Notamacropus eugenii: one gene and its partners. The protein of the gene in region 2 binds, or shares a complex with, the protein of the main gene of each other region. Links are inferred from orthologs where the notes say so. Each region holds a gene or a part of one and is shown on either strand. Other genes may lie near its edges. The genes, in order: ORC4, ORC2, ORC5 and LRWD1.

Region 1 (7,505 bases), on a different chromosome or scaffold from region 2:
TGGCTCTGCTGGAAAACATAAGAATGGAAGCTGCTGTTTGGTTTTTTTTTACAAAGGAACTAAATAGTAAACAAACAAACAAAAAAATGTTTCATGGCCATCAACATACCCTTTACTTATTAACTTTGCCCAAGATTCACATGTAATCAATAGGAATCAACACTGTGACATGGTTACGGAGCAAGTTATTTTGGATCCAAGGATGAATTTTTTCCTCCACTTTCTGGACTTTATAATCATGTCTTTTCTACCTTGGAACTTGCCTGAGTGCCTAAGAACTCCTTCTAAAGAACCACCCCTGTCACCTGCTCAATCTCCTCCCAGTGCTGAGTTCCTCCTGGAGGTTTCATTGTTTTGGAAAAGCCCACAACAACTTGCCTTCTTTGTCCTCCTAGTCCTATCCTTGACTTTTTGGACTTCAAATCATACTCTAAAAACCAGGTACCTTCCTCTCCCATATTGTAAGAGCTAAATAAAACTTTCCTTCCTTTCTCTGTCTTATCCTAACTTTTGATTCTTTCAAGGTTGCCCTTCTACCATCTGCAGCCAAATACCATCAATAAGAAAACTGGCATTAAAATTTTGCAACAATGAAGTTCAGCATCATTGAAAATGCACATTTTCCATTACAATTCAGTGCTGAGATTTTATCTGTTGTTCAACAAGCATCTGTTAAGAGCTTACTACGAACCATGCAAAGTGGTAATAAGCACTTGAGATACAAAGAGAGGAATAAAAAAAACAAAACCTAGCCTTTGTTCCCAAAGTGCTGGGTGGTGGGGGGAAACAGGACATGTGGAACTTACATGTAACTATGTACAAATAAAACTTTTACAGGACAATTTAAGAGATAACTAACCAGGGGGAAGGTATGAGGCCTTAGAGAGCATCAGGAGAGGTTTCTTTTGGAAGGTGAGATTTGAGATGAGATTCGAAGGGAAGATAGGGACTGATATAAAAAAGAAGATAATTCCAAGTACAGAGGATAGCCTACAAAAATGCTCAGCATCATGGAGACTGAATGCTTTGTGGGAGGTACAGAAAGGAGGCCAGTGTCATTGACCACAGAATATGGGGAAAAGAGCAAGGTTATAAAGGGTTTACTTAGATCACCAGAGGATTTTATATTTTATTCTGGAGCTGACAGGCAATCCTTAATGTTTACAGAAGGGTGGGTAGGGGTGTGTGTATATTTTACATGATAAGATTTGGACACCAGTTTTACCTTTCCAAATGGTGTACACAAGTAGAACATCTGAAAAATAAGCATCCTTTCAATCAAAGTTATTCACTTTGAGTATGCCTCTATTTCCAAAGGTCTCTTTTCGAATATCTTCAAGTGAAAGGATTCCCCAGTTCTCCCAATAAAATTCTCTGCTGTTTAACATCTCATATAGATGAATATTTTCTAGTCCTCCACCTATAGTTTTTTAGCTTCAGACATAAATCTCATGGACACTTTAAATCAAATAAACTGTGTTATAACTCAGTCTGTAACCTTCTACAAAGGGATGAACTTTGAGTGTTAGTGAATTAAGGTTTTGATGCACAAAACAATATAGAAGAAATCAAACTCTGAAAATAGTTTCTGTAACAATAGATGGACTCCTAAATGGTATCTGTAACGCATTGTAAAAGATGTTGTTTCATAAGAAAGAATTCATGTTACATTTTTTGTTTAGGAGAAATAGCTCCTGAAACACTGATGTTAATCTTTTAAAAATAAGTACCCTAAAAAAAGATTTTTCCTAAAGATCTCCATCAGATGTCTTTTAGAAACGGAGAAAAAAACAGCACTATGCAGTTCTGCAAAAGAAGCTTTATTTATGCAAACTCCCCTGCCTATTCAACCCCATTAGCTTCCAGCACTCAGATTAAACGTGACCTTTAGATCAAGTACTTAATATTAACCTTCCTCCTCCCTCACAGATGAAATTTTCAGCATTTCATTTGGGTAGGGGACCAAATTTAGCTTAAAATCCAAAGAAATCGAACCAAACCCCCTCCCCATTAATTTTTTTTTACGATTCTCAACACCAACCTTCTCTTTCCTTAAATATTTAATGATGCCAAGAGCATCCCTTCTTCCTAATCTATCCCTAGATGTCCTTAAAACGCTAAGTCTCAGTTATTCACCGTCATTACGGCCACACAAGCTCATCCGTGGCTTCGGAAGGGAAGACGTAGGAGTGAGTGGAGGCTCGGCGAACAGCAGGCCAGGGGAGACGCGAGGCGTCCGCGCCGGCCCCCTCCCCCAACGGGGAGCAGATGGAGAGGGTGGGGGCGACCAAGGGTAACGACAGAATGGCGCAGAGAATCAACACTTGGACTGCACCTCAGGAAAAAATGCACACATCTGCGTCAGGTTGCCCAGCCAGTCCTTTCAAGACAGTTTCTCCCCCTCATCCCCTCCCCCGTTCCAGGATGGACCCCCGTCCATCCTACCGCCCGCCTCGGCACCTTCACCTGAAGCGCCATCTCCCTCTCAAAACACCGCTCCTCCGCCACAACGAGCGCCTGTCTGGCCGCGACCTTGGCAGCCTCCGCATCAGACAGCGAGCCGGGGCCTCCGCGCTGGGATCGGGGGTGGGGGGGCCTATCTGGGTCCGTCCGGCCTAGCCAGCCTGCCTGCTTTCCTCGTTTTTCCTTCCTCTTCTGCTCTCCCATCACCATAGGGGCGGTGGAATCTGCGCCTGCCTCGCTCCCTCTCTCCATCGCAACCTGCTTCGGCCCTAGATTAAATGCCTACGCAGGTTGCCTAGGTCCTTACCGGAGAACGAAGACGGCGCGTCCCGAGGCGGCCGCGGCAGTGCCCCCTTCTCCTCTGACTGACGGCTTAGACTAGGCTCCTGCCACCGCCAGGGCGCGATGGATCCCGGCATGCTCCGCTCCACGCCAGGGCCACCCAGTCCACTGCCCGCCCCTTTCTCTCATCACACGTGACCCCTCTACTCCTTCCCCGCCCACTTCCGCTCATCAGCTCTCCTGGAGGTGGGAGGGGGAAGCTGAAGAATTCAACTTCCTCCTCCTTCTTCTCCTCCTCCTCCTCCTCCTCCTCCTCCTAGTCTCCCCCTGCCCCCGCCTCCTTCCCCGTTATCCCTCACCCCCGTCCTTCCCTCCAACACCTTCCGGGTCGCGGGCGCCGAGATGCCTTCTGGGTAACCATCTCATTTCCTCCCCTCCCCCTCCTCCTGCCCTCGACCAACCAGCCTCCCGTCAGGGAGGGACATGCGCAGTGAGAACCTCCCATCTCTTCTAACAGAACCCCCCTCCCCCCCAAACCAGAGAGACCCCAGCAGCAGCAGCAGCTGATGATGAAGAGAGAGGCAGAGGCTAAGGGGGGGCACCTTTTATTTCTATTTTTAAAGGGACAGGACACTAATTTTACCCCACTTCAACCTTGAATTGCGAAGGGGGGAGGCGATTGAGTTCCTTCCCCCACCCTCCACCCCTGAGCTCAGAGAGGGGAATTGAGCCTGAGAGAGAAGGAGAGTTTCTTCTTCTTCTTCCAACCCCCCCTTACCACTCCTGCCCCCCCCTCCTGTCTCTGCTCAACCCCCTCCACCTCCCTCTCTTTGGCCGTGAGAGGAGGAGAGAAAGAGACCAAAAGCCTCTTAGCAACACAGCCCCTTCTGTGCTGCTGCTGCTAAAGCTGCTGCTAAAGCTGCTGCTGCTGCTGCTGCTGCCCAAGCTGCTGCTGCTGCTAAAGCTCCTGCTGCTGCTGCTGCTTGGCCCTGGCTGGAGACATCTCACTACACCCAGGAGCAGCCACTTCCAGCTCTCCTCCTCCTCCTCCTCCACTCCTGCTCTCCTCCTCCTCCTTCTGCTCTCCTCCTCCTCCTCCTCTCTCCTCCTCCTCCTCCTCCACTCCCCCCCTTTATTACCCTTTGTGTCATCCTCCACAGCTCCAGGGAAGGGACTCAAAAGTGGGGGGCAGGAAAGGTAAGTGTGTCTGTGGGGGCTTCATTGCCTCCCTCTGGCTCTGACTTTCACTTCGGGGCAACAGTAGCACCAAACCACATACGCAGTGGAGATCGGGGGGTGAAGTGGGGGGCGTAGGTGGTGGTGCTGGGAGGTGGGGGGGACTGAAGAAGGGGATGGACTAGAAAGTGTGTGTGTGTGCTGGGATTCCCATCTCCCTCTTGCTAGCCAGGAAAAGGATACTTTTATTTTTATTTGTTGTTTGCAAAAGTGATTTCTCCCCTTCATGTGGCAGATTATTGTGTCTCTGCTTCTGTGGGGTAAGACAGAAAAACAAACCCATTCCTGCAATGGGGCTGGCAGGGGAGGGGGGGGAGAAGGGGAGAGGGGAGAAGAGAGAGAGAGAGAGAGAGAGAGAGAGAGAGAGAGAGAGAGAGAGAGAGAGAGAGAGTTTTTAGATCTGTCACTTTAAAAAAAATTCAATTGCAGAGCCTTTTTTCTCTTTGCCCAGTAAAACCTACACTGGTTTTGATTCTGAGTGGGGAAATGTCATAATATGGATTGTATTAGAACTACTTTGCCCATTTATAGACGTGAGTTTTCCCCTTTTTGGCCCTGTATCTAATTTGGATATTGACTCCAGTTTTGGAATAGGCTTCTTGGTATTTTTGGTTTTGTGGTTGAAATTTCAGTTTTTGGTTGTTTCTCAGAGATATAGATTTCTCTTGTAAAGTATTGAAAATATTTACTAACAGAAGTGGTAGGGCATGGTTTGTCTACTATCCTTCACTTTTTATCTAATTGGTTCCATATATCACTACATAAAGTTTAATGCTCAAAAGGCAAAGTTTAAAAAATACCTGTATTTTCTTTTCCCACATTCATTTTTGATTGAATTTGTTTTCAGTAAGCTTGAATTATAACTACTGTATAATTAAGTTGGGTATTCTACTCCTTTTAAGTTAGCAGAAACAAGTCACCCCCACTTGAAAACTTTTGTTATTTTGATTTCAAGGAAAGCCAAGCTTTTCCATCAATAGTTTGCTGGATTGGGTATCACTTTCAGTTTTAACTGAATTATTTATTTACTCTTGTAAATTGCGATGTATTTTTCATCTCTTGGGGTAGTGAACCTATTTGCTTATTACATATAAAAGAAAGATTTTTGAAAGATGCTTTTGAAAATCAAGGAAATCACAAAGTGCAGGAGTCATGGTGTCAGACAAAAACATAGCATACGTATATAGGCTTAAAACTTATTCAGCCTTTATTTTTATTAAAAAATGCTATTATCTATTTTTATTAGTAACCTTCCTTTACTGGTTTTCCTTGGAATTGTGAGAGTGCTTTCATTTTACAAATGCTGGAAAGTATTTTTCTGAACGCTAGTATGTAGGCCTTTTGGTAAGGCTTGAGTTAGAAAATGGGATTCAGTTTCATACATGCATGTTCTTTATCCTTTATTTGAAGAGGGATATACACGTACATATACACACACAAATCCTTTCTTTGTAAATGCATTGGTATCTCTGATCCCATAATTTATGTCAGCAAAAAATATTCTTCTGTAAAACAGCAATTTTGTGATCAGACTAGCAATATGAAAACAGCAATTTGATCAGCCTGGAAAAGATGGGTGAAAAATAAATCTCGAATGATATGTAACATAAATATTATAAATAGGTGACTAGAGAAATAAATATAACTAGCAATTTTTAATTTTAATCTTATATTTTTAGACTAAGTCAAAGGAGATCCTATTAGTGTTCTAATATGTCATGCATATGTGCAGAAACTTGCTCTGTAAAATTGTAATTAACAACTTGTGCAAGAGTAGTTGTTTACATGCAAGAAAAAAAGCTGTTGAAATAAACATATGATTCTATTTCCTGTTCTCTTGTTACAAAATTAGTGTAGTCCTTCTCTTGTCTTTATTTGAAGTGATATTGGTGTGCTTCATATGCAAGCAGAAACCTGTGCCATGTTCAGGTTTATTGCCCTAAGATCAACATCATCTCAGGTCTATTTTCTGTCCTCTGTATGGAACCAGAGCAACCTGTAACTTATGAGACATAGGGTGACACTTTAGTGAAGGAATCAATTGAAAGTGAAGAAAATTGAGTAGCTAACTGGGGTGGTTCAAAATAGTTGCCCAGTGGGCAGCTAAGTAAAACTTCTTAAATTTGTGTCTTGAGTACAATACCTTTTATTTGCCCTGTGCCTCTGAAAACCTCCCCCAGTACCTTATATAGATTTCTATCTAAGTAACCCTTTGTGGGCTGTTTATACTAAACTTTCCAAATTGAAGATTAACTAGTATTCGAAAATATAATTGGTAGTGGTTTTATCATGTTTATTTGGGAATAATAGTTGTGCTGTTAGAGTCATAGGAATATAATACTGATAACTCATATTCATATGGTGCTTTAAGGTTTACCAAGAACTTTCCGGACAACATTGTGAGAGAGTACCAATATTATTATTCCCATTTTACAGAGGAGGAAACTGAGATGCAGAGAAACTAACTCACTTAACCAAGGTCATGTAACTAATAATAGGACTCGAATCCAACCCTTCTGACTCAAAGAACAAAGTTTTTTGGTCTTTTTTTTTTTTTCGCTTGCAAAGACTTCAGAAATAATTTAACCCTAACATAGTTCTCTGTGCAGCTCCGATTTAAAGATATATCCACTGAGGCCCAAAATGATTAAGTAAGCAGTCCAAGGTCATACTGCTTTCCAGTGGCAAAATCAGGGCTTCTCACTTTCAGCAAATGGCCTTACCACAAGATCATGCTGCCTGATTTCAGTTTGTATAACTTTTTCAGTTTTCCTTTAAAATCATGTTTTGGAGGTTTGGTCTGTACGAAAACCAGGAAATTAGGTTTTTCTATGCATTTTCTATGAGAAGGTTAAAGTAAAAATCAAACTTATAGTTTTATGACAATAAACAGTACATTTCTATCTTAATTTAAGTAATTTGGCATCAGTTTTCTAGATAATAAATTGAATTCATCCATAAGCAAATGCTTTCTCACTTTCTTGTGAGAACCAGGTTGTTTCTTTCCAAATTTGCTCTTTTCGCCCAGTATTTTAATCAGGCAGTCATTTTTTTTTCCACCATTGTGTTAAGGATCCATGACTGACTTTTTGCAATAATAAATACAACTCAGGAACTAGAATGCTATCTTTTTAGGTGTGCTTCTCTCCGTCCTCTTTCTCCCTAGCTTTTTATTCAAATAATTTCTTTTTCTAGCTTTCATCCTCCCCTCCTTCCAGTCTTTCCTTAACAGCTGGATTCTGTATATAAATCATACAGTAATATTACTTAATCATAGAAAAAGACTACTGTCCATCTGAATAAAAGCATAGAATAGACTTAAAGAATTTTTTTGATAGATGATAAGATTGTAATAGATAGTGATCGTTGATCCAACTTAGAAAAAACATACTAGCATGTTTTGATTTGAAACTGATTTAGCTGACTTTAATTTTATAAGGTGAAGAATACAGTGATGGGTCATTGGAGTAAAAAGACGTCCTGCCCCAGGTATGCAAAGTAGCAGTTGTTTTAGAGGTCCTTTT
Region 2 (7,672 bases):
TGGGAAGATTTACTTCTATGAACACCTGCAGAGGGAAGTATTTACAATGATGTAAATGGATAGAATAACAGCAGTAACGACAATAACAAAATGACTGGAATGGAGTGCTATGAAAGGACGATGACCAGCTTAGCCCCAAAGAAGAGATAGGATACTTTCTTTTCTGCAGAGGTGAGCAACCCTGGGTGTGGACCATTACAAATTACATCTGACTTTCTTCATATGTTGTTTCATTTTTGTAGGATGTGTTTTTCTTTATTCCATTTTTTATTCTTTATTATGAGATGTGGATTTCTGGAAGAGGTAAGAAGAGAGATATAGTTAAATGGTATGAAAACAAAAGACATCGATAAAATTTTGTATTATAATTTTTTAACCACCTTAAACTATTGGAACTTGAACACAAAGTGAATCCATAGGTCCATGCTTAAGGTAAATCTTAAATTTAACTCTCAGGATTTTAACTGTCAAACTCCAGAATTTTCAGATAAAAAAAAATACTGTAAGAAGTCAGGAAGATCCCAGACACCAAAGAAAAACTGTCAGGATCACATAGGATTATGCAACCATTACTATAAAAGAAAGGAAATCTTGGAATAGAGTAAAACACAAGGCAAGAGAAAAAGACTTGGGATGAAGAATAACATCTTACAAAGAGGAACATAATCCTACAGGGAGGAAAATGGATCTTCAATAGAGTAGATGACAGCAAAGCATTCCTGGTGGGAAAAAAAAAACAAAGCTAGATAGAATTTTTGAAATGTAAATGCAGGAGATGAGAGAACCCTAGAAAGGCAAAATAGGTTCAAGCAATTTAAAAAAACTAAATGATAATCAAGTGCTTATATCTTAATTGGAGAAACGGAACTGCTGTCCCTTCAGAATGTAACTTGCTTCAAGGGTCAAAACAGGATCAAAGAAAAACAAACTCATAAAATGTAGGAAGCATAATGGATTAGAAAGAGGTCTTTTTGATTCCAAGTATAGCACTCCATCCACTGTACAACTTAGCTGCCTCTAAAAAATAAACAAATGGAAAAAAGCTGAATGAAATATTAAGCACATCTAATACAGACTACAATGAAATGAAAGTGTTAATCAATAAGGAAAATTTGAAGAAAGGATTTAAATTTAAGTAGAGACTAATATAATCTTGAAGAATGACTGGGTCAAAGAAAAAGTAGAGACAATAATTTGTCAATGGAAATGATAAAAATGATACTAATGTGATGGTATGAAGGTGGCTTCCATTTCTTTTTTAGTAAAGGAAAAATCTCATCGCTATGTGTGTTAGGGGCCTGGATACCACATTTTGAGAAATCAGCGGGTTAAATGCTCCAGTCTTATAAAAATGGAAAGTATCTATCAAAGAATTCTTGAAAGGAACTCCCAGATGAAAACTGTTAGGAATATCATAGCCAGAATCCAAAGCTTCCAGGTGAAGGAAAAATTGCTGAAAGCAGCCAGAAAGACAGAATTCAAGTACAGAGGATCCACAGTTGGGACAACACAAGATTTGGTTCCTATCAGTTAAAAGATAGGAGAGTTTGGAATGATACTCTCAAAAGGAAAAAAAGACCAAAAAAATCCACCATAGACTTAAAACCAAGAATAACTTATAATATTATCAAGGACCCTGACATACAGAAGGGCTTGTACAGGTTCTTAGATCTGCATTTCTAAAAGGAAAGCAACTTTTGAGGGGTCAACAATCACTTTAATCAAGCACATACATCATTTACTTAGTTCAGGGGAAAAAGTCAGCACCCTGAATTTTGGAGAAAATACAGAGAAACAAAGATCAACCAACAGACAGGGCTTCCAACTGTCTGACCATAAGTAATACATACATCACAGGTCACTAGACAGATAACTGTCTGACCATACATACATAGTTACCAGAGACAGAAGCACCAACATCTAGATTTTCAAAGCTGGGGGGCGCTCTTTAGTGTCTGCCCTGAGTCTGGTCTGGCCAAGCAAACACTTTCAATGAATAAGCCCCAAAACAAAACCTCTCCTCATAGTATATGTACACTTTTTTGGAGCTGGAGTGCATCACAACCCTTGAGAACCAGTGCTCCTTAACAAAAAGTATAAGCCTTCATACAAATCTCCCCTAATCAAATTCCCCTTAAGAGGTAGGCCCATTAATGAGTGGGAAAGATCTTCAATCTCATTAGCATTACACTTACCCAGAAAAACTGAAATAATCCTACAAGGGAGAAAATGGATCTTTAAAGAAATAGAAAACTTCTAAACATTTAATGAAAAGACCATAGAAGTGCTGTGTACTGTGTTTGAAGTGCAAGTGAAGAGGAATATAAAACAGTATAGGTCAAGAGGAATATAAAAAGGTAAATTCGCTTGAGCAATTGGAACAGATTATATAGGGTGAGGAAACATGTCATCTCAGAACCTAAATCATCAAGGGTTATAGCAGGAGTTAAATAAGATAAAGGTTTAGGGAGTTGTTTTGTTATGTTTTGATTATCGTAAGAGAAAAAAGAAAATGTAGGGGAAAAGAAATACACTAGAGAAGAAATGGGAGAAAAAATTTCTGTTTTACATATTCTGGGTGCTCAAATAGAAGAATATGCAAATAAGGAGGTAAACAAGTTGGGGGAAACAGATATTACCTGAACCTCAGTTTCATGTGAACAAGTCAAAGAGTATAGAAACCACACACACACACACACACACACACACACACACACACACACACATGAATTTGAAAAATTTATAACTCTAAATTCTTTCATCAACAAAAGAAAGAACAGATCCATGAATCTGGCATGTAACCTAACAACCAGAAACACAACAAATTAAAATACCTAAATTAAACACAAAACAAAGATATTAATCAAATTGAAAGCAAAAAATCATTGAATTAATAGACTATTAAAATAATGTAGGTAAACCATTATCTAATTTGATTTTTCAAAAAAAGGAAGACTAAGTTATTAACATCCAAAATGAAAAAGACAAATTTACCATGAAAGAAGAGTAGAAATTAAAAAAAAAAATTGTTAGAAACCATTTTGCCCAGTGATATGCTAGCTATGTGGTGCATTGGATAGAATGACAGACTCATCTTCCTGAATTCAAATCTGGCCTCAGACATAAGCTGTGTGACCCTGGGCAAGTCACTTAACTCTATTTCCCTTAGTTTCCTCACATGTAAAATGAACTGGAGAAGAAAATGGCAAACCATTCCAGTATCTCTACCAAGAAAACCCCAAACGGAGTCATGAAGAGTCAGACATGATTGAAAATGACAACAACATGCCAACAAAACCACTTAAATGAATGTAGACAAAAATATAAATTCTCATGTTAACAGAACAAGAAACAGAGAATTTAATCTAATCTCAGAAAATGAGACTGAATGAGCCATAAATAAACTCCCAAAGAATAAAAAAGGTCCAGAAACAAATGGATTTGTAAATGAATCCTATCAAATTTTCAAAGAAGATTAGTTCCAATATTGCATAAACTGCTTACAAAAACAGGAACAGATGGGATTTACTAAATTCCTCTTATGACACAAATATGTCATAATACCTAACTAGAAAAAGTTAATATGGAAAAAAGAAACTAAAGATCAGTATCTTTAATGAATGACACAAAAATTTTAATTCAAATATTGGCAAAGAGACCATAGCAACATATCAAAAAGGTTTTACACTTTGACCAAGTCTATATACCAATAATGCCAGGTTGGTTCTATATCAATAAAAGTACCGAAACAAGATACTATATTAACAATTTTAAAATCATGATTTTATCAAGATACATAAAAAGCTTCTGAGAAAATGACGTTTCTTATATTTTTTAAAAATGACTAAAAAGCAAGAATAATTTTTTCTTATTATAATTAAGTATTATATTTCCAAGACAAAGATACAGAGTTACTCATAATGGGGATAAATGAGAAGCCTTGCCAATAAGATCAGAGCTAAAGCAAGAATGTCCATTTATCACCACTCCTATTTGATAAAGTGCAAGTCATGCTACTTCAGAAAAGTTATAGTTTTTTCAAATGATATGTTGGTTTACTTAGAAAACCACAGTATCCACTAAAAATTAATTGAAACAATTAGGAACTTCAGAAAAATTTGCAGATTATAAGTTGAACCCCCATAAATAATCAGCATTTCTGTATATTACCAATAAAACTCAGAAGAAAGAGAAATTCAATTTAAAATAACTCTTGGCAGGTACAAAATACTTGGGAGTCTACCCACAAAGACACACACAAACCAGATGAACAGAACTTCACAACATCCCGCTCGGCTGGAAGACCACCACAGTCAACTCAGAGGAAGAGGAGTCTCACTCAGCTGGATCCACTTGTGCTGCCCTTGATGCTCCACAACTCCACAAAAGTTTATTAAGCCCCTTTTAGGTACAACGGGAAAGCCTGCTTCGAGGCCAGCATAAAAATTAGGCTGCTTTGCACGAGTCCAAACATCGAGATCTACCACGTGGTTTGGTGTGGGGCAGGGGAGGGGGGGGGCGGGGGGGGGGGAATCGCTTTACACCTTCCGCTCTCTCTGTTCCGCCCCTCTCTTCTCCTCCTTAGCCAATCACGAAGCGGTTTGCCCTGCGGGTACACCAACGCCATCCCGGAACCGGAAATTGCCCAAGAAGGGAGGGGTAATTGTTGTTTCCTGGAGAGTCTCCATTTCTCCGGCTGTTTCTAGGCGGGGCACGGCAAGGGGACGCTGATTGGCTCGCTGGCCCATCGCTCTCCGCCGCTTCAGCTTCCCATTGGCAGCTTCAGGGGCTGCCCCTTTGAGCAGGGCGGGAGATTCGGTGTGTGTCGGGAGGATCCCCTTCCTTGTCCCCTCAGCCATCTGTCCGGGCCTGTGGCGTTAGTTGCCCGTCTGCGTCTGCCTTCCGTTGCCGGGCCGTCGAGGTTGAGTTAGCATCGTTTCTTCACCCTCTTTAGTCTCGGGCTGTCGGTCGGGTGAGCGTGGGAGCGGTGGCGGGCCTGGGAGGCCGGGCGGGCCGGGCCCGGCCCAGCCGGCCTGCGGGGCCCGTGCCGAGGCCGGAGGTTCGGGCCAGGATGGGCGGGTTTCCGAGTACGCGCTTCCTCCTCCCCTTGGGAGCCTCCCTGGGCTCCGGCCGCACGCGTGGGGCTCCGGGCTCCCGCCGCGGGAGGCGGGGGCCCCGCCCCGGAGATGCTGGGAGCTGGAGAGGCTTGTGGTGGAGGGGTTTGGCTTGGCCGCAAGTCTTCCTTCTTCTTGTGCCTCAGTTTCTCCTTCCTGTAAAATGGGGCTAACATTGTTTCAGGTAAAGCGTTTGGTGAATTCGCGTGGTTGGAGTCCGGACAGCTCCTTTCCAGGTTACTCGTTATTCCCGAGGGATAATCCCCCTCCTTTTGACTTTGGTTATTGATGTCTCCTGACTCGTCCGAGCCTTCTTTTTAAGGGCGGGATCTTCTCTTTTTTCACCCTTGCATGCTTATCGCATAGAAGGTGGTAAGCGAGTGTCGTTAAAATTCCATCCTCCGCCCTGACCCTCAGACGCCTTCATTGGCAGCGCTACTGACAATCCAGAATTGTGAAGACTGAAAAGATCCTTTTGCCTGCGCGGGTGGATTGGGGCAGAGGTCAGTGGGAATTCTTTTGCTCACACCTGGGACAATAGTACACGGGGCATGGAGCTGTTAGGATGCTTCTATCCGACGGATACTTGATTGATTTATCACGTAGAATTAGGGTGTGACGTTATCTGGTAGTGTTCATTGCAGCTAACGAACAGATAAGGAAGAGTGGGCAGAACGCTGGGGCTGGAGTCCTGGGGCCTCACCCTGGCACTAGCTCTGTGACCCATGGCAAGTCAGTTAGCATCTGTTTGGTTCAGTTGGCACAGCTGTAAAATGGAGATGATACTTGCCTCACAAGGTTGCTTGTTGTGAGCATCAGAGGAGTTACTATTTGTAAAAAGCTGTGTGGCACAGCTCCTGGTCCACAGTAGGTGCTATGTAAATGCTTATTCCCCTCTTTCCCTTTTCTTTCCCTGCTTTTAAGTAAAGTCCTTTTTCAAAAGGGAAAAATCTTTTTAATGTAAATTGTACAAATGAATTAAAAATTATTAAATTATAATTATAAAAATTATTAAAATATGTAACTTTACTAGCCTGATTCAGGCTAGTAACTGCTGGTAACCAGTTACCAGACTTCTGATAAAGATTGTATTTTAGAGGTTATCTCGATGTACCATAAATTTTAAATTTGCCTAAATGTACTTGGCATAAATCTTTTTGGCCCTTATGAATGATTGCTTTATTATTTCTGTTAAGGTTGATAGTGGTGAACCATTTGAAGCTACTTCAAGAAGTCAGGATGCTGGAAGTTCAATTTGTAGGGGATGATGATGTTCTTAATCACATTCTTGATAAAGAAGAAGGTACAGAATGTCTAATTGTATTTGGAAAAATGCTTGTTTAATGTTTGACTCTTGTTTCACCTTTTGATAGATGAAAATATTTTGTTTCTTTAAATATCAGAGATATTTGATCTAACATACTAAGATTGTGTATAAAAATCTTTATTTCTGAGTTTTCCTTTTTTAAATGCTGTTAACTAAGAAACCAAATTAGCAAAACTCTATGAAACTTGTGAGATTGCTTAGTAGCAACAGTTAATTCTGGTTACAGAATTATGTGAATTTTATCAGTTGAGGTTGAGGCTTATGTTTGAAATTTAAATATCTAATTTGAAGTATTTGTGAAGGTTGACGTTAACTCAGTTCTAGAAAAGTATATACACTCTTTAAACAGATAAAGTTTTATTCTTCCTTTCCATCTTTAAAAAATTTAGGAAATGCAAAAATAATGCCAAAAGAAAACCATTTTTCTAATTTAACATTCAGAGGATTTTCAGTTTAGGTTATTTTTTGCTCTTTGGTTATAACTGCAGGGGCTAAATTTCGAAAGGATCGAGGTCAACTCTCAGTGAATGTAAAGAAACTAATGAAGAAGCAGGAAAGTGACCTAAATGAAGATGACCAGGAGGATTTAAAAGATGAGAACTATGTGGATATTCTAGGAACAGACCCTCAAGGTATTTGTTGAAAAAAAAAAAACTTCAAATCTCTGCTAATTGTCAATATGTAAAAATACTACCACGCTGTAGGATAAGTAGCAAAATGTTGCTTATAAATGAACATTGTGTTTCTGACTTCCTGTTAGTAGACAGCATGTAGTGTCTACTGAGACTGGATAGAGAGAGCCAGCATTGAAGTCAAAAAGAACTGGGTTCAAGTCTTGCCTCAAAAATATTGATCATATTTCTTTAAGGCTTACCTTATAAACAAACAAATCAATTTACCTCTTGGTACTCCAGGCAACTCTGAGACTTTCTCTTGCAGAGAAATGCTGTCCTGCATTTGTAGAGGGATCTTGCTTACTGAGGATTTCCCTATACCCAAAGAAATCATAGGTACAAGTCCTGTCGCTGTCAATAAAGCCTGTATTGTTTATTGTTTTTCCATGAATGAAGATGGATTTGTAGCTCCAATGGTACTTTGACCTGGTCCCTCATGTGACCTTTGGTTGAAAACTCAACATTGAGTTCTCTTGATAGTTAAACAGAAAAAAAAAAGGTACAAATTGGTGTTGAATTGATGATCTCAGTTAGTTTTTTAAAAACAATATTCTAAT
Region 3 (7,733 bases), on a different chromosome or scaffold from region 2:
GGCAGGTCCTTAGCTGAGTGACTGTGGGGAAAGGCTAACATGGAAAGCTAATAGTTGGAAATACCTGCTGTAGAGATAATCAAAGGGATATTGAAGAGAGTATAATCTTTAAAAAAAAAAAAAAGTGCAAACTTCCTGAAGAAATTACTTGCTTTTCCAAAGGATTATATTTTTGGGGGGGTGTTCATTAATACATCTAAACTGTCAATTTAAATCTAAATAGATTTCACTCATCTTAATAGATACCAGTAAGAAATTAAATAACTTTGACACAATGTGTCAAATAAGAGTTTAATAGCTATAAAATATTGTTAGTAATAAGACTTGATTTCATAATATTCTTTTTTTATTTTTAATTTTTTAAGATATCCAGTTTGGAGATACAGGGGCATGCAGAGGCCCAGTCCAATTGTGATTAGCACAGGAACTTTGACCTGTTCAGTTTTCAATCTGGGCTAGTTTACCTCTCCTTCAGCAACCCTTTCTATTAATGAAAAGCTCACCATATTAATGCCAAACTTAACCCTATGGCTCAGCTTACTGTACCTCAGACTTCATAAGCTCAAGACAGTCAGGAGTCTCAACCTCCTGGGCAGCAGAATTTATAGCAGCCTTCCACCTTCTCCCAGTCAGTCATAACATTATTTTTTTTTAAAATTAAATTTTTAATTTTATTAAAATTAAATAAATTAAATTTTATTTTATTAAATTTATTTATTAAAATTATTAAATTTAATTATAAATTAAAATTAAAATAAATTCAATTTATTTTATTTTCAGTTCCAAATTCTTTTTTATTTCCCCTTCTACCTGTTGAGAAGGCATGGAAAAACAAAGGTCATTACAAATATGTATAGTTATGAAAAACAAAATCCACAATTAGCAATGCTTCATACCCTTCCAAAAAAAAGAAAACATGCTTCAATCTATACTGAGACAAAGATCTCTTGCTTTCTGTAGGTGGAGAGCATGTCTCATCAGGAGTCCTTTGGAATTATGGTTGGTCACTGTGTTGAGTTTCTAAGTTGATTATCTTTAGAATATTGTTGTTATTATATAAATTGTTCTGGTTCTGTTCACTTCACTTTACATCAGTTCCTACAGATCTTCTCCTTCATCATTTCTTACAAAACAGTAGTATTCCATTCTATTCATATACCTTAAGTTGTTTAGGCATTCCCCAATTGATGGGCAACTTCTCAGCTTCCAATTTTTTGCTACCACTAAAAGAGCTAAAATATATTTATACATATGGGTGCTTTTCCTTTCTTTGATTTCTTGGGGATATATGGTCATACATACAAAGTTGATGTCAATGACTCATCATCAGTAAGACCTAGATAGTAAGACTTCAGATAGAATAAATGCTTCTAGAAAGCAGGGGCTATTTCTTTGTTTTTGTTCCCTCCCTCTCCTGTATCTCTGGGGCAGCTAGGTGGTGCAGTGGATAGAGCACCAGTGCAGGAGGTCAGGAGGACCTGAGTTCAAATCTCATCTCAGACACTTGACACTCACTAGCTGTGTGACCTTGGGCAAGTCACTTAACCTCAGTTGCCTCATCCTGAGCCACCTCCAGTCATCCTGATGAATATCTGGTCACTGGATTCAGATGGCTCTGGAAGAGAAGTGAGGCTGGTGACCTGCGCAGCCCTCCCTCACTCAAAGCAAAGTCAATACAAGTCATGTCATTATTTCTCTGATGGCATGGTCTTCTTTGTCAACAAAGGACGAACACACATTTCCTGTATCTCCAGTGTCTAGCATGGTGTTTGACAAAGGAGCTTAATAAATACTTACTGAAGTGAGTTTTAGCAATGGTAGTGGATTAAATATAATTTTAGGCATACTAATACTTGCCCATATAATCAAGAACACACTACAAATCAATATTAGAATATTTTGTTATTGCAAAGAACAAATTATATTCAAATCAAAGCTCATGTAATTTACTGAGAATGGGTTAAAGAGTAAAGTGCCTTAGGTTTGGAATAAGGTATTTAACTCTCTGCTATGATGTGAGACCTTTAAGTAATTAATTTTTCTTAGCCAAAGCAATTATGGAAAAAACCACAGCTGGGGCCAAGTTTCCTCAAAAATAAAATGTAGTTATTCCTCTACCTTCTTTTTTGGGGGATTAGTAATCTCATCTCTGGATTCAGCTGTTTTATAGCCTCTTTAATGTCTTCCTTGCATGCTTACACCAATGATAATGATAGCTATCACTTATAGTGTTATAAGGACTGTGGAGAGTTTTTCATATATTCTCTCATTTGATTCCCATCACACCCCTATGAGATAGGTGTTATCACCTCCATTTTACAGATGGAGAAGCTAAGGCTCAGTGATTTACTCTGGGTCACACAATCTGTTACAGGCAAGCTGTGAAGCTAAACTACTTAATATGGTCATTCAAATTTGATTCCTCTGAACTACTGCTAGTCTTTTAAAAATTATGCCAACAACTTTGTTCATCTTGATCCATAAAATTGTTATTTTACCAGCCCTAGTAAGTCATCTATCTCTTGACAGAGAAATGATGCTCAAAATGAAGAATGAGAAGTATTTTTGGCCAATTGCTTGACTATGAATATGTGACAAGGGTTGTTTTTTGCTTGCTTTTTAAAATTTTTGTCTGTGTAACTGGACAGGGGTAGAAGGGAGGCAATTAATTCCCTGTTTTTTTCACTGGTGGTTCTCCCCATGCCTAAAATGCTCTTTCCTCACCATTTAGTACAGTATTGGCTTCCTTGTGCTCCATCAAGTTCAAATCCCATCTACCTTCTGCAAGTCACCTTCCCCCCACACTACTATTGCTTCCCCCCTCCCCCAACGTTTACCTACTGTGAATGGAATTATGATTTTCTTATTAAATGATATAAGTATAATGAATATACCCACAGATCAGATTTTTCAGAATTGTTTTTTCTAGCTTGTGAGTCAGATGCTCACAATGCAGCTTGAAATGATCAATCAAACCTTGACAGTGCTCACAATCACTGGCATTCTTGTGCCTGTGTACGTAAAGTGAAGGGAATCAAACACTGTAGAACCTGTTTGAGCCTCAGAGAACTCTGGTTCTGTGACCTACTAAGGAATGATCCCCAAAGTCTTGAGATCCTCCTACAGACTCCAGAATCGTAGTATTGTCTTCCACTGGTGGGCTTGTTATGGAAAACCACATGAGAAATGATTGTTTGTAATCTACATTCTCCCCCCCCCCCCTTTATCATGGTGATTTTTATATAATCTCTGTCTTCACTGCAGCAAGGTGGAATTCTGATGAGGAAAACTGGATTTGCAAATCTCTTCCTCAGAATGAAACTAATTAAATGGCTACCTGATTACTGGCACTTTGTCTCTGGCCTGCTGTTTCTTCATTCCCAGGCTAGAGACTGGCCCAGTGAAATCCTGTTATTGCTACCATTAGCTAGACATCTTGTATAACCGTAGTATTTAGCATGTTTTCTCCCTCATTCGTGCCAGGTACATGGTAAGGCCTGATTGTTTGTGTACTGATCTGCTAAATGGGAAAATAATAAAATTAGATTTAAAAATAAAGAAATGAAACATGCATTTATTAATTGCTAACTATATGCCAGGTACCATGTTACATACATAAACACACACAATTTTATATGTAATTTACTAACTCTTCAGGATGCTGTATATACATTCGTACCTTGCGGTGTGTCTGTACACACATATATGGGCTGTATATTGATAACATTTAATATCATTTTTGGACTTTAACATGGGCCAGAGCCTGAATTAATCAATCAGAAGAAGAGCCTGGATCTAACATTCTCCTTGTTCTCTTAGGTAAACTCAGAGAATACCTCTTCTTATGTCAACAAGGCCAGATGGGGCTGACTTAGCATTCTTTATGAGACCCTTAACGCAAGACACTATCTTGAACAATGGGACTTTTTCCATATCTTAATGTTTTGTGGACATATACTATGTTACAGCACGTTAATGGTAAAGAAAACACAGATATGCTGGATAGTCATTTCAGTTGAAACGGTCACCTCTCTTATTTATAACCTATTCAATTAAGAAAACTCCTTTCTCATGGTATAGTCAAACACATAGAAGAGACCACCAATCTGAGGGGCACGGACATCCCTGCTTGTCCGAAAGCAGATTTAAACCTGGGCATTGTGGGATCAGTCGGTCAGAGATGCCCTTCTCGGCCCGTACTGCCAGCTTTAAGGGAACAACCAAAAGTTTGGTTTTGTCACCAAACGTTCAGGTCGACGACATATAAAAGCGCTGTGTGTTTATGTACACACACATGCACGTGTAATTTGTATTTACACATACACACAATTCCTACGTGTGCGTATTCACCCTAGCCCGTCAGAGAAGCCGGGGTCACCATGCATGTCCTGGGGAGCACCAGAGCGCACCACGAACCTTGCCCAGCTCTCTAAAAACCCCGAACGTCAGCTCCACGCGGCAGGATGCCGGCCCCGCCTCTTTTCATCCCGGCGCCGTGGGCGTGGCCACCCGGGCCCGAGGCCTACCTAAGGGAAGCCCCAGCAGGCCCCCTTCGCTGTCCTCCCGCTCAGCCTCCGGATGACCGGGGGAGGATCTGGGCCCTCTCCTTTTTCCTCAGTCTTAGGAGAACCTAGAAAAGCCCGCACAGGCTGCCGGTACCCCAGGAGGGGGCGTCTGAAGCGGCTCCCGGCCCGCGCGCCCTCCCCAAGGACGCCGACCGCCGACGCCGGCGCGGTGACGTCACGACGCCGACGTGCTGGCGTCCGGCCATAAAGGCTGCTGAAGCCCGGGGAGGTTGGACCGGGGCTTTTTAAGCGTCTAGCGGGCGCTCGCTGGGTGTTGAGTTCCCGTCTGTGTCGCGTGCTCTTCTTTTGGCGGGGGGGCGCGGTAAAGGCCGCCCCAGGCGTCCGCTGCTCTTTTCTCCCCGTGGCGGGTTCATCGCCCCCCTCCGCTGCGATGCTTCCTCTGGAGAACGCGGTGCTTTGTCGCGAATCCCAGGTGTCTGCTTTGACGGCCTTGTTTGGAGAGGTACTGTTCCTTAGACGGCTTCCTTAAACGTTACTTTTCAGACCTCGCTTTTGCCTCCTCAGCCGGCGGAGTGAGGGGAGCGCCGGCCTTGAGTCCGGAGCCCCGAGTTCGAGTCTTGCCTGAGACGTCCAGCGGCTCTGTGCCTCTGGGCTCGTGGCTTGGCCTCGCAGCCTCCGTGTTCTCATCTATGGGAGAAAAAAGTGGGGATCAAAGTCCCGGGTCACTGAGGATCGGATGGGGCCGCAGACAGCCCTCTCTGTCCTCTTCCTCGTCCCCCCAGCTCCCCAAAGTGAACATACTCAGATTCTGCGGGGTCTTGCCACAGGTGGACTAGGCTAAGGAAAGAGACTTGTAGAACTTTGAGAAGCCTTGACTTCTGACCAGTGGCCCAAAATGAAGAGCCTGCGGGGCACCGCAGTTTGGCAGAGCACTTTGATGTCTTGAGGGAGGGAGGGTCTGAGCTGGAAGCCCTAGTGGCAGTTTATCATTATCCACAGTCCCCTTGGAAGGTTGAGTTCGTTTGTGGGGGTGTAGCACAAAGCAGCTTGCCCGACACGCGAGGTCTTGGTAAGGGCTGTATTTTTGAGGTGTGCTGTGTTGGCTGGTTCTGGTTTCAGTGAGGTTGTTGGGAAGTTGGGCTTCATGCCTAGCAATCCAGGAGTTTGCTCTCTAAAATCCCTGACAGCTGGTTTGACCATTTCCTACCAGAACGGTTAGGTGAAAGGCCCATTGGCCAGGGAGAAGACTCTTAGGGAGTTTGGAAACATTCTACCGCCCCCAGCAGGTTTCGAAGGAAATAATAATGCCAAGTGAGGCATACTAATATCTCAGATCATATTCTACTTAGAATTTTGTTGTGGTTACTCAAAATGTGGTCATCTTACTTGGTTCACGGAATGTCATATTTGGAAAGGACACTTAAAGGCCCAATATACGCAGTTTCCTCTATATAACATCCACTACTAAATTAGGTTTAGTGAAAAGACTATTGGACTGAGAGCCAAGGAGACCTGGGTTTCATTCTTTGCTCTGCCACTAACAGGGATAACACTGGTCTTCATTTAGCATCTTGGGGCTTCTATTTCTTTAGTTGCAAAAATGATGGTTCTCCAAGGTACCCTTTCCTCTCTGACTTTCAGTTAAACATCTGGTAATAGGTACTTCACTGTATCACAATGCAGCCCATTCTGTTTTGGGATATCTCTAATTGTTCTTTCTTGTATTGAGACAATGTTTTTGTTTGGGGATATCTCTAATTGTTCTTCCTTGTATTGAAACAAAGTTTTCCTCTCTTTAAGAAAGTGAGAATGCTGTAGGACCTTAACCTGAAAGGGCCAGGGTCTCACATTGCATCCTGGGCCATCTCCAGTCGTCCTGATGAATATCAGGCCACTGTATCCAGATGGCTGAGGAGAAGAAAGAGAGGTTGGTGACCATGCACAGTCCTCCCTCACTCAAAGTCAACTGCAAGTCATGTCATCATCTTGATGGCATGGTCCTCTTTGAGAACGAAGGACAAACACAACAATTATCTTTAATGTCCACCCATTGATCCAAGATCTGTCCTGTGGAGCCATGAAGAATAAGTCTGGTCGTTCTTCTGCATGGTAGCCTTTCATAATTTTGTGGACCACCATCCTATCTTTTCTCTAGTCTGGTCATATCTGTTTTCTTTAACTTTTCCTTATATGCAATAATCATCTCACTGTCCTCACTACTCATACCACCATCCTATAGATGTATTCCAGCTTGCCCAGGGTCACAGAGCTAATATACCAGAGGCATGATATGTGTAAAGAGTCATTTCGCATAATGGATAGAGAAAACTTGAGTTCATTCATTCAGTAAACATTTATTAAGTATGTGCCAGGCATTGTGCTACGTGCAGGGGATGCAGAAAGAGGCCAAATAAATAGGAAATAATTAAAAGAGGGAAATCACTAGAATTAAGAGGGAGTAGAGAAGACTTCCTGGAGAAGGCAGGATTTTAGTTGGAACTTAAAGGAAACCAGTGTATTGGCTTAGGAGTTAAAAAAAGCCCTGATGAGGAATCAGGCAAAACAAAGCAAAAATCCCCAAAAAGGTCCCTGTCCTTGAGGAGTTCATGTTGTAGTGCTTAGATATGTCATTACTCCTATGGTTCTCATTCAGCTAGGATACTAACTGAATTACATAGGAAGTGCATAGTAAAGTTATATATGATAAGTATTTGATAACCTTGTCACCATTTCAACTAATGGTGATGTCAGAGGACCTGGACGTGCCTTTCTTCCTTAGTGGAGGATGAGAATAAAAGAAAAATAAGAGGCAGAGTAGTTTAGTAGGGCAACATGTGACTGGATAGACCCAGGAGACATATGGCGTGGAAAAGTATATCAAAGTGGGGGCCAAAGGCAGCCAGCCATGTTTTACTGTTCAGTCAAGATTTGGCATGGTAGATCAGTTTTGAGACAGTTTTACTGTGCCTCTTTGGAATTAATTATCTTGGGTAGTCACGGCAGACCTTTCTAACCTCTTTATATATCACTTCACTTCCCATATATTTGTTCTAGCCCAAGTGGTCCTGCTGTTTCTCGCAATCAGCATTTCATTTCCCATCTCTCGGGCCTTGCACAAGCTATCCCATATGCTCAGGGTACGTGCCCTCCTCACCTCTACATTTTAGGCTACTTAATTTCTTTTAAAGTTCAGCTCAGGTGCCAACT
Region 4 (7,443 bases), on a different chromosome or scaffold from region 2:
TAGAAGCCACGAGGAAGTAGTAGAGATAAACTAATGGAGAGAGCTCTTTATAAACTGTTGGCTGTAATTCCAGCTCTGCTGTGGATTAGTTGGGGGACCTTACATTTGTCTGGGGATGAAATCTCCCTACCTGGTTAAGTGAGGGCATTGGAATGAGTGACCTTTAAGGTATCTCTCAATTCTAAAATTCTTTTTCAATATAGAATTTTGTATTATTTATTGCAGTTTGAGTTCATAAAAATATAACTACCAACTTGGAAAATGGGTATGTTAAACCCAACAAATCTATAGAAACATGGTACGTGATTAGATGTGACAGCCTTCTGGTATGAGAATGTACTGATACCCAGTATGTGCTTGCTCCCCAGATGCCCATGTTAAATTAAAACTGAAGTGGACAGAAGGACACAACCCAGTGATGTCCCAGCCACTTTGGGTTTCTAGAACCCGAGGAATTCTGGAGGGCTACCTCCTCAGAGTTCGGCATCCTAGGGCAGCCAGGGGGTTGGGCTTGCATGGAGTTCGGCAGGCCTCACCATGGCTTGTCCCCAGAAAGAAGTTAGGTCTGAGCCCCATTATTAACTTCCAGTTTCTCTGCTGGGCAGACATCCTCACTGTTAAGCAGTGAAAATCAAACTGGTTCCAGCCACCTTCTTGTGTGCAGAGGGTGGCATGGGTGGTACCATCTGGCACATAGGAGCATTACTAATACTGTCCTACAGCAATGTGAGAACGTCCACATCTCCTAACAAGAAACTCTGCCCAGGCACGTGGGCTCTGCCCTCTAGTGAAAGCTTTTCATAACCAGGGCATTCCTTTTGTTGGGTCTTGTATAAGGATTCTTCTGAACCCTAGGTAGGCCTCTCCCAACCCCTGCCCAAGGGAAGGCTGCCCAGCCCATGCTGATGGGTGTGGTCTCAGACTAGGGGCATTGCACCAGCAGCAAATCTGTCATTCAAATGACTGAGGTCAGGCAGTTCAGACTTCTATCGCCATCTTAGAACTTAAAAAAATAGACATTTAATGACATAAATCATCTTTTCATGGAATGTTGTGTATATTTAGAATGATGTCACTAGTCTTACATTGATTTGGTTGAGGTAGATATAATTAGTTAGGGGCCTTTTTAACTAAAGGAAACATTCATAGGCCAAGGTCCACCAAGAACAGGATCAGATCTTCTCAGCTGAGTTGGGACAAGGGTGTGCTGTGAGCTCCCGGCAGCCTGGCTGCTCTTGGGCAGCTGCAGCCTCAGTGGGACAGACTTCCCCAGCACAGACCCTCAAGGCCCTCAGCCTTACTTTTCCCCCAGAACAAAAACAATGAAAGGTGAGAATTCCCCAAACTGCTCTGACAATGGAGCAGGACTCGATGGTGCCACGTTTGGCTTCCGGGTTTCAAGTGTGCTTTTCTTAAAACTGTGTGTTTTCAGGATCAGTAGCGCTGTTGGGTCCTGGACTCATTTCTTGACAAATCTGGGTACTGGCTCCCTTTCTCTAGAACTGTCACACAGGTTTTCCTTGGAATGACAGAGCTATTTCCAGGAGTTCCTGCCCTAGTTCTTCCTGCTTTCCTCCAGGACAGAACTCAGCTGACAGTTCTCGGAAGGTGGCACAGATTCGGTGGCTTTCAATGTGCTGGCGGTGGATGGCATGTTTCCACTGATAGCGGGCAGCCCCAAACAACACGAGCAGGGACCTGGCGGGTAAGTGAATGGCCACTTCCACAAGGTCACACGGAACAGATCTCCAGGTGCTCTGACCCTCCTCTGGGTCTCCCATCTTTGTGTCATTGGGCAAGGAGTTCCCTGTTCCCTGCTGGGACACAGAGAGTAACTGAAGTCTCTCATCTGAATCCCGAGACATAGATAGGACTGTTGGTGAGAGCAGATTGAGGCTGACTAGCCGCTCTCCCCAGAGCCAGGAGTCATCCAAGTGGGGGTCGATTGCAGAGCCTCGTTCAGGGTGGTAGTCCAAGTTACACTGTTCAACTGGAAGGAACCTCTCCAGGATGGGGTGAACCCCCATCCTCTGCACAATTTCCCGACTGAAGCTGGGCAGGCCATCAAAGCTGCCAGGTTTCAGCTTCTGTTTCCTAAAATTGACTCTGGGGCCATAGTCCTATAGAAAGGGGAAAACAGAAGAGGGCAAGGAAAAAGGAATGGTGATTTTCACTTAAAAAAAAAATTTCACAGCCAGCAATTTCCTTATCAAACAAATCTGAAGTAAGTGCCTAAGGAGTTGAACAAAGATATCCAGGTAGAATGGATTTCTAACTCAAATGTCTGTAGGCCTAAACTAGCCATGGTTCAATGACAGCCACTGAGCCCTGTATCTGGGGGCCACCAGTGCTCCCCTATCTGTGCTATGGGGCTTGAGCTCCCTGCACACCTTGGGAGATGGTCTCTGGGGGCTGCTCTGGCCAAAATAATTGCCACTTGATGAGCCCTCCAGTGAGCTGATTCCCCAGACAAATGGTGTTTCTAGCTGGACACCTTTCTGGCTTGGTAGGATCCACCTGAGCTTGGGCTTCTGCTGAAGAAGACTTCAGGGGAGGGCGTTGTTATCGGTACACAACACAGCTGGGAAGTGCTATAACACAGCAAGATGAACACTAACGGCAGAAGGGGATAGCAACTTCCATCAACCACCTGTGGCTGGTTCCATTTGCCACAGAAACAATTCTGCAAATGGTGATGCATAGGCTGTACCTGTTTCCTTCTTCCAGACTGTGAAAGTTTCCAGTCATCTTGATCCATTAACCGAACCAGTTCAGCTTCCTCCTCAGCACTAACAAAGTTTTTTATCAGAGATACTCCTGGGAAAGGAAAAGCCCAGCCAGCAAATTCTGATTTCTCTGTTCCTACAGCCAAACCCGTTTCTGAACAGTAGATGAAATGGGCTGTCTTCTGCAGAGGAAAAGACAGAAGCAAGGTCCTGGAATGAGCAAGTTTCATTTTCAGGGGTCAAGTCTCCATGATCATCTTCTGTCCTCACCAGGGAAGGAAGGAAACAAGCACTCATTAAGCACCTTATACCTCATTTGATCCTTACCTTGGGAGGGAAGTGCTATTATGATACCCATTTTACAGAAGAAGAAACTGAGGCAGACAGGTGAAGTGGCTTGCCCAGGCTCACAGAGCTAGTGTCTGAGGCTGGATTTGAATTCACTGCTCTGTTCCCAGCCATCCCTGGGTAGATAATCTCAATCCCATGTTCTTTTTCCTGAGAAGCTGGAAGTTTAACAATCTATTTCTCTCTCCCCGGTTCCTGGGTTCTAGCATATCCAAGTCTCTCCTCCTCTGCCCATTGCCTGCTCCCCCTCTATCACTGCCCCCCAGCCACCAGCCCCTCCTGACTCAGTGTTCCCTGCAGCCCCGGGGCCCCCAGTTTCACTGATTCTTCTTTTCCCTCCTCCCCCATTCTTTCTTCCAGCCCAGGCCCATAACTGTTTCTCTTTTAGGCAGGAATCCTGAGGGTCTTCCCCTCCCAGTTTGATTTGGTTTTTTTGGATTAAAGAGGCCATCCCTTGAGTAACTTAAAGAAGCCTATTCACTGAATGGGTGTAGAAGTGAGAATGCTAGAAGACCTTAGCCTGAAAGGGCCAGGGTCTCCCAGTGCATCCTGGGCCATCTCCAGTCCTCCGGACCAACATCAGGCCACTGGACCCAGATGGCTCAGGAGGAGAAAGTGAGGCTGGTGACCTGCGCAGCCCTCCCTCCCTCAGACCAAAGTCAGCTGCAAGTCATGTCACCATCTTGATGTCACGGTCCTCTTAGAAGGAAGGACGAACACAACCATCGGCCCTCCCAAGACTCCCCCGAGAGGCCCCGCAGGAATCCCATCCTCGCTGACCCGGACCGCACAGACGCGTGCCCGTCCCACCACACGGTGCAGCCTGGTCACGGGGGCGGCCTTGGAGGAGGGGGGCCGTCCGGCGGGGCCCAGCAGCGCCCGAGGACGGCTCCCACCGGCAGTGGGGACTAGAATGGGCAGGGCCGCCCGTCCCACGCCGCTCATCGGGGCGGCAGAGCGGAGACGGAGCACCGCAGGAAGGACAAGGGCCCCAAGCCGGGCTGGCGGCGGCCGCCAATTTCAGGGCTCTCGGCCTCGGTCTGCCCGTCTGTGAAATGGAGCTGACGACGTCTCCGCCCCCACGAAGCCCCTGGGGTGAAGAGCCCCGCCCGAAGCCACACAAGTAGGGGGGTGCCCGCCCAGGCCCAGGCGCCCCTCCCCACCGACTCCCACCTGTGGGGGCAGGGCTCCGGGCACGCCGCCGCCTCGCTCCCGCTCGCACAGCAGGCAGGTCCGGACTCCTTTGCAGCCGCAGCCTCGAGGCCGCGCCCCGCAGCCGCTCCGGCCCCCGCCGCCCGCAGCCGCCATGCCGGTGCCCGGAACGCCGCCGGGCGGGCAGCCTCAGCGGGGCGTGTGCGCAGGCGCGAGCCGCGGGGGCCGCTGGGAGAGGTAGTCCCGCGGGGCCAGGACACGTGGGATCCTGCTCGGCCGGGCCCTTTTCCGGCCGGCGCCGCGCGAACCTCTCCAGCTCGAACCGCCGGCAGAGGCCGAGGCCGCGCTCCGAGCTTTAGCGTCGCCTCCGTCCGGGCCCCGGGTGAGCTCGTGGAGACAGCCCCAGGTGGCGGCCAGCCTCGGCGTGCAGGGCCTCGCGGCGGGGAGGCAGCGTGCGCCTGCGAAGGCCGGCGGCCATGGGCCGGCTCAAAACCCCGCTGCTACTGCAGAGGGGCTACCCCAAGTCCGACCGGCTCGGCAGGATCAAGAAGCTCGAGTAAGGCTGGGCGGGGACGTGCGCGCGCGCGCGTGCGCGTATATGTATGTGTGCGCGGGGGAGGGAGGACACGCGTGTGCGTGCGTTAGCGTGGTGCGAGTGTGCGCGTGCGCGCCCGTGTTCCTCCGCATGGTGCCTTTGGGGGCCAGTGTGCGTGCGTCCCTGCGGCGCTTCTGTCTCTGTGTCCCCCTCTGGCTCCTTGGTGACTGCGTGCGCGTGCGTGTCCGCGAGGTGCGTTGTGCGCGTGCGTGTCCGCGAGGTGCGTTGTGCGCGTGCGTACGCACACTGCCCTCCAGCTGCTTCTGCCTGTGCGGGTGTCCGCACCCTCGCCGCCACGCCCCCAAGCCCCGGAGCCACAGGTGCTAAGGTGGCCACCGCGATGACCCCCGCCCCCTCCGTGCCCCCGCCAGCTGCCCGGTGTGCTTCTCTGCGTGCCCACGTCGGTCTTCGCTGCGGGGTCCTGTGCCTGGCGCAGCTCAAGCCGGGCCTGAGGGTCAGGGATAGGGCCCCTGCCCGCTAGTGGCCACCCTGGAGCCGGGGCCCCCTGCCCCTTGGTGTCCACCCGCTGGTGCCCGTTCTGGTGCCAGGGCCTCCTGCCCGCTAGTGCCCGCCCTGGTGCCGGGCCCGGCTCCCCTCCGTGTGACTGTACTTTCCGTGGTACCCCTGCTGCTGCTCGTATTATGCAGGCTGCTGGAGTCCCTGCCCCCCTTCCTGCCCAGGGCTGTGACTGGTGCTCCAACCCTCCTCCTGCCCCAGTGGAACCGAACTGTCCCTCACTTGTTATGGAGAGCCAGAAGAGTGACCTGGGCAGAAGGGACGACACAACTCCCTTCCTTGAATGAAGGGGTTCAAAACTACTTTTGACCCTTGTCCCTGTGTGCCCCAAGCACTATGTCCCCTCTCATCCTTCCCCCTGCTTCCCCCTCAGTCAAGGAGAGGGCAAAGCATGCTAAGGACAGACCCTGCCCTCAGGAAGCTCACCCTGTGGTGGGGGAGACCAGACACCCAGAGAAGAAAGCCCCCCAGTTTTCACCAGACTGGGGGGAGCCCAGCCCTTTAGACCCTCCACCCCCTCCCCCCTTTTCCCCACCACAGTTTGTCAAACCTTCAGCTTCAGACAAAAGACCTGGACCTCAAACTCCTCAATCGAATGAAGCAGCTGAAGGAGCTGGATCTGTCAGATAACCTGCTGGAGAAGGTGCCTGAGGGCCTGGACCTGCCCTGTCTGCAGGTCCTCAAGTGCTCCAACAACCAGCTGGAGGATGTCACCCCCCTGCAGCAGTTTACAGCTCTGGAGGAGGTGGATTTCGAGGACAACTTATACCTGACGGTGAGCTGGGGCAGGGGTCATCCACCGGCATTTCTTTAGGAAGTGTCTACTAAGTGTGCGGTGCTGTGGATTATGGGAAGAGTGAGGGATGGATGGAAACAGGCACAGAATCCAGTAGGAGAACCTGAGTTCAGATTCCACCTCTGACACCTTATGACCTTACTGGTCTCATGTTAGAAGTGCAGAAATTCTCATTTTCTCATCTAATTGAACAGGATATTTCTTAATCCAGTGCTTTCTCTCTGTTGATTATTTCTTATTTAGCCTGTGTGTAGCCATGTCTCTTTAAAAACATACATAATGTGATATACAAGCATATGTGTGATGTCATGCATTTGTCTGTTTATAGCACATGTGTGTTACACATGTCTTGTGTCATGTGTATTATATTGTTTAATTTTATGTAACCATGTGTATACATAAATGCATGTACATTAAATACAAGCACACCTGTACTATAATACGTGTATACGTAGGTATAACTGTTTGTACGTCACATGTTTGTGCACAGTTGTGTGTGTTGTCTCCCCATTACACTTACAAAGACCATCTTTTGTTTTTCTCTCTATCCCCAGCAATTAACATGGTACCTCGAATATAGTAGGTGCTTAGTGAGTGTTTGCTGATTGACTAGATGGTCCTCAAGAGGCCCCTTTAGCTCCAGGTTTAGGATCCTGTGCTGGGGACTGTAAGGGATGCACAGCCACCAGGAAGACCAAACAGGCCCTGCCCTCAAAGCACATGGAATTCATAGAGGGATAACACATCTGTGAAGGAATATTCAGAATAAGTAAACAGTAAACACAAAGTAATTAGGAAGGAGGGCTCTGGGGGAGGGCTGGGGGTCAGGAAAGGTGTCTTGTAAAAGGTGGGAGTTGAGCTGAGTGTTGAAGGAAGAGAGGGATTTGGTAAAAAGGAAGAACATTCCAGGAATGGGAAGCTTGTAGTCTCATCTAGAAGCCAGGCCTGGCAGAAGAGGGAACGTGAGCTGGGAAGGGGCCCTCTGTGCCAAGGCTGGAGGAGAACCCAGAGCTCAGGGAGCTTACAAGTGGTGCCTGTGGCAAAGCATCATGGTCCAGTGGGAAGGGGACCAAACTAGCCTGGGCCTCAGGAGATCCGTCTCTGCCACTGACTTGCTGTAAGGAAGTTATTTAAGATATCTGGGGCTCAGTTTGCTCCCGTGTAAAACTGATGGGAGCTAGGGAGGTGAGGAGAATTTAATCAGCTGGTCTCTCAGGGGACATTTACCTCTGACATTGGGACTTGGTAGCTTGAGGTCTGGATTGGTGGCAAAGATTGCTTGTTCCTGAGCTTGTCTGTATTCACCCCCA

What was found.
Region 1: the proteins of ORC2 (region 2) and ORC4 are in contact, whole or in part, in a cryo-EM structure (PDB 7JPP), measured with the Homo sapiens proteins. The link is inferred for Notamacropus eugenii from reciprocal best matches to the Homo sapiens genes ORC2 and ORC4. Residues at the interface, in NP_006181.1 of Homo sapiens: Asp501, Asp504, Tyr508, Ser512, Gln518, Glu522, Val554; in NP_001177808.1 of Homo sapiens: Lys168, Asn169, Arg195, Glu200, Leu201, Lys204, Arg205.
Region 3: the proteins of ORC2 (region 2) and ORC5 are in contact, whole or in part, in a cryo-EM structure (PDB 7JPO), measured with the Homo sapiens proteins. The link is inferred for Notamacropus eugenii from reciprocal best matches to the Homo sapiens genes ORC2 and ORC5. Residues at the interface, in NP_006181.1 of Homo sapiens: Val240, Glu241, Tyr243, Phe244, Glu245, Ser248, Asp396, Gln398, Arg401, Gly402, Glu403, His426, Asn428, Ala429, Pro430, Leu431, Met432, Trp433, Asp434, His435, Gln438, Trp445; in NP_002544.1 of Homo sapiens: Asp324, Lys325, Phe328, Leu329, Leu359, Asp360, Arg361, Ala364, Tyr367, Ser368, Ala378, Asn379, Phe381, Ser382, Gln383, Thr385, Ser386, Thr389, Asp400, Gln401, Leu402, Asp403, Tyr407.
Region 4: the proteins of ORC2 (region 2) and LRWD1 are in contact, whole or in part, in a crystal structure (PDB 8SIU), measured with the Rattus norvegicus proteins. The link is inferred for Notamacropus eugenii from reciprocal best matches to the Homo sapiens genes ORC2 and LRWD1. Residues at the interface, in NP_001012003.1 of Rattus norvegicus: Val11, Pro12, Ser13, Val14, Gln15, Phe16, Val17, Gly18, Asp19, Val22, Leu23, Ser24, His25, Ile26, Leu27, Asp28; in XP_038945348.1 of Rattus norvegicus: Pro262, Leu263, His264, Phe265, Leu266, Gln267, Cys268, Ser270, Asn273, Ser274, Pro275, Leu320, Val321, Leu322, His323, Lys324, Tyr325, Lys326, Leu367, Val369, Gly372, Phe373, Cys374, Pro596, Pro598, Val599, Ala600, Val605, Ile630.

What each region holds. Positions count from the first base shown.
Region 1 is NC_092876.1:282,812,560-282,820,064, reverse strand, and holds the start of ORC4 (origin recognition complex subunit 4), read right to left. Parts: upstream 3,002-7,505; 5' UTR 2,771-3,001; exon of another isoform or gene 2,467-2,770; intron 1-2,466. UniProt on the Homo sapiens protein: Component of the origin recognition complex (ORC) that binds origins of replication. DNA-binding is ATP-dependent. The specific DNA sequences that define origins of replication have not been identified yet.
Region 2 is NC_092877.1:297,133,135-297,140,806, reverse strand, and holds the start of ORC2 (origin recognition complex subunit 2), read left to right. Parts: upstream 1-4,669; 5' UTR 4,670-4,972; intron 4,973-5,091; exon of another isoform or gene 5,092-5,480; 5' UTR 5,481-5,617; intron 5,618-6,310; 5' UTR 6,311-6,353; coding exon 6,354-6,417; intron 6,418-6,929; coding exon 6,930-7,073; intron 7,074-7,672. UniProt on the Homo sapiens protein: Component of the origin recognition complex (ORC) that binds origins of replication. DNA-binding is ATP-dependent. The specific DNA sequences that define origins of replication have not been identified yet.
Region 3 is NC_092874.1:151,805,231-151,812,963, forward strand, and holds the start of ORC5 (origin recognition complex subunit 5), read left to right. Parts: upstream 1-4,731; 5' UTR 4,732-4,956; coding exon 4,957-5,028; intron 5,029-6,326; exon of another isoform or gene 6,327-6,453; intron 6,454-7,585; exon of another isoform or gene 7,586-7,654; coding exon of another isoform or gene 7,655-7,663; intron 7,664-7,733. UniProt on the Homo sapiens protein: Component of the origin recognition complex (ORC) that binds origins of replication. DNA-binding is ATP-dependent. The specific DNA sequences that define origins of replication have not been identified yet.
Region 4 is NC_092873.1:51,644,194-51,651,636, reverse strand, and holds the start of LRWD1 (leucine-rich repeat and WD repeat-containing protein 1), read left to right. Parts: upstream 1-4,433; 5' UTR 4,434-4,702; coding exon 4,703-4,782; intron 4,783-5,877; coding exon 5,878-6,112; intron 6,113-7,443. Other genes in the region: ALKBH4 (alpha-ketoglutarate-dependent dioxygenase alkB homolog 4), read right to left, coding at 1,506-2,120, 2,711-2,908, 4,248-4,382. UniProt on the Homo sapiens protein: Required for G1/S transition. Recruits and stabilizes the origin recognition complex (ORC) onto chromatin during G1 to establish pre-replication complex (preRC) and to heterochromatic sites in post-replicated cells.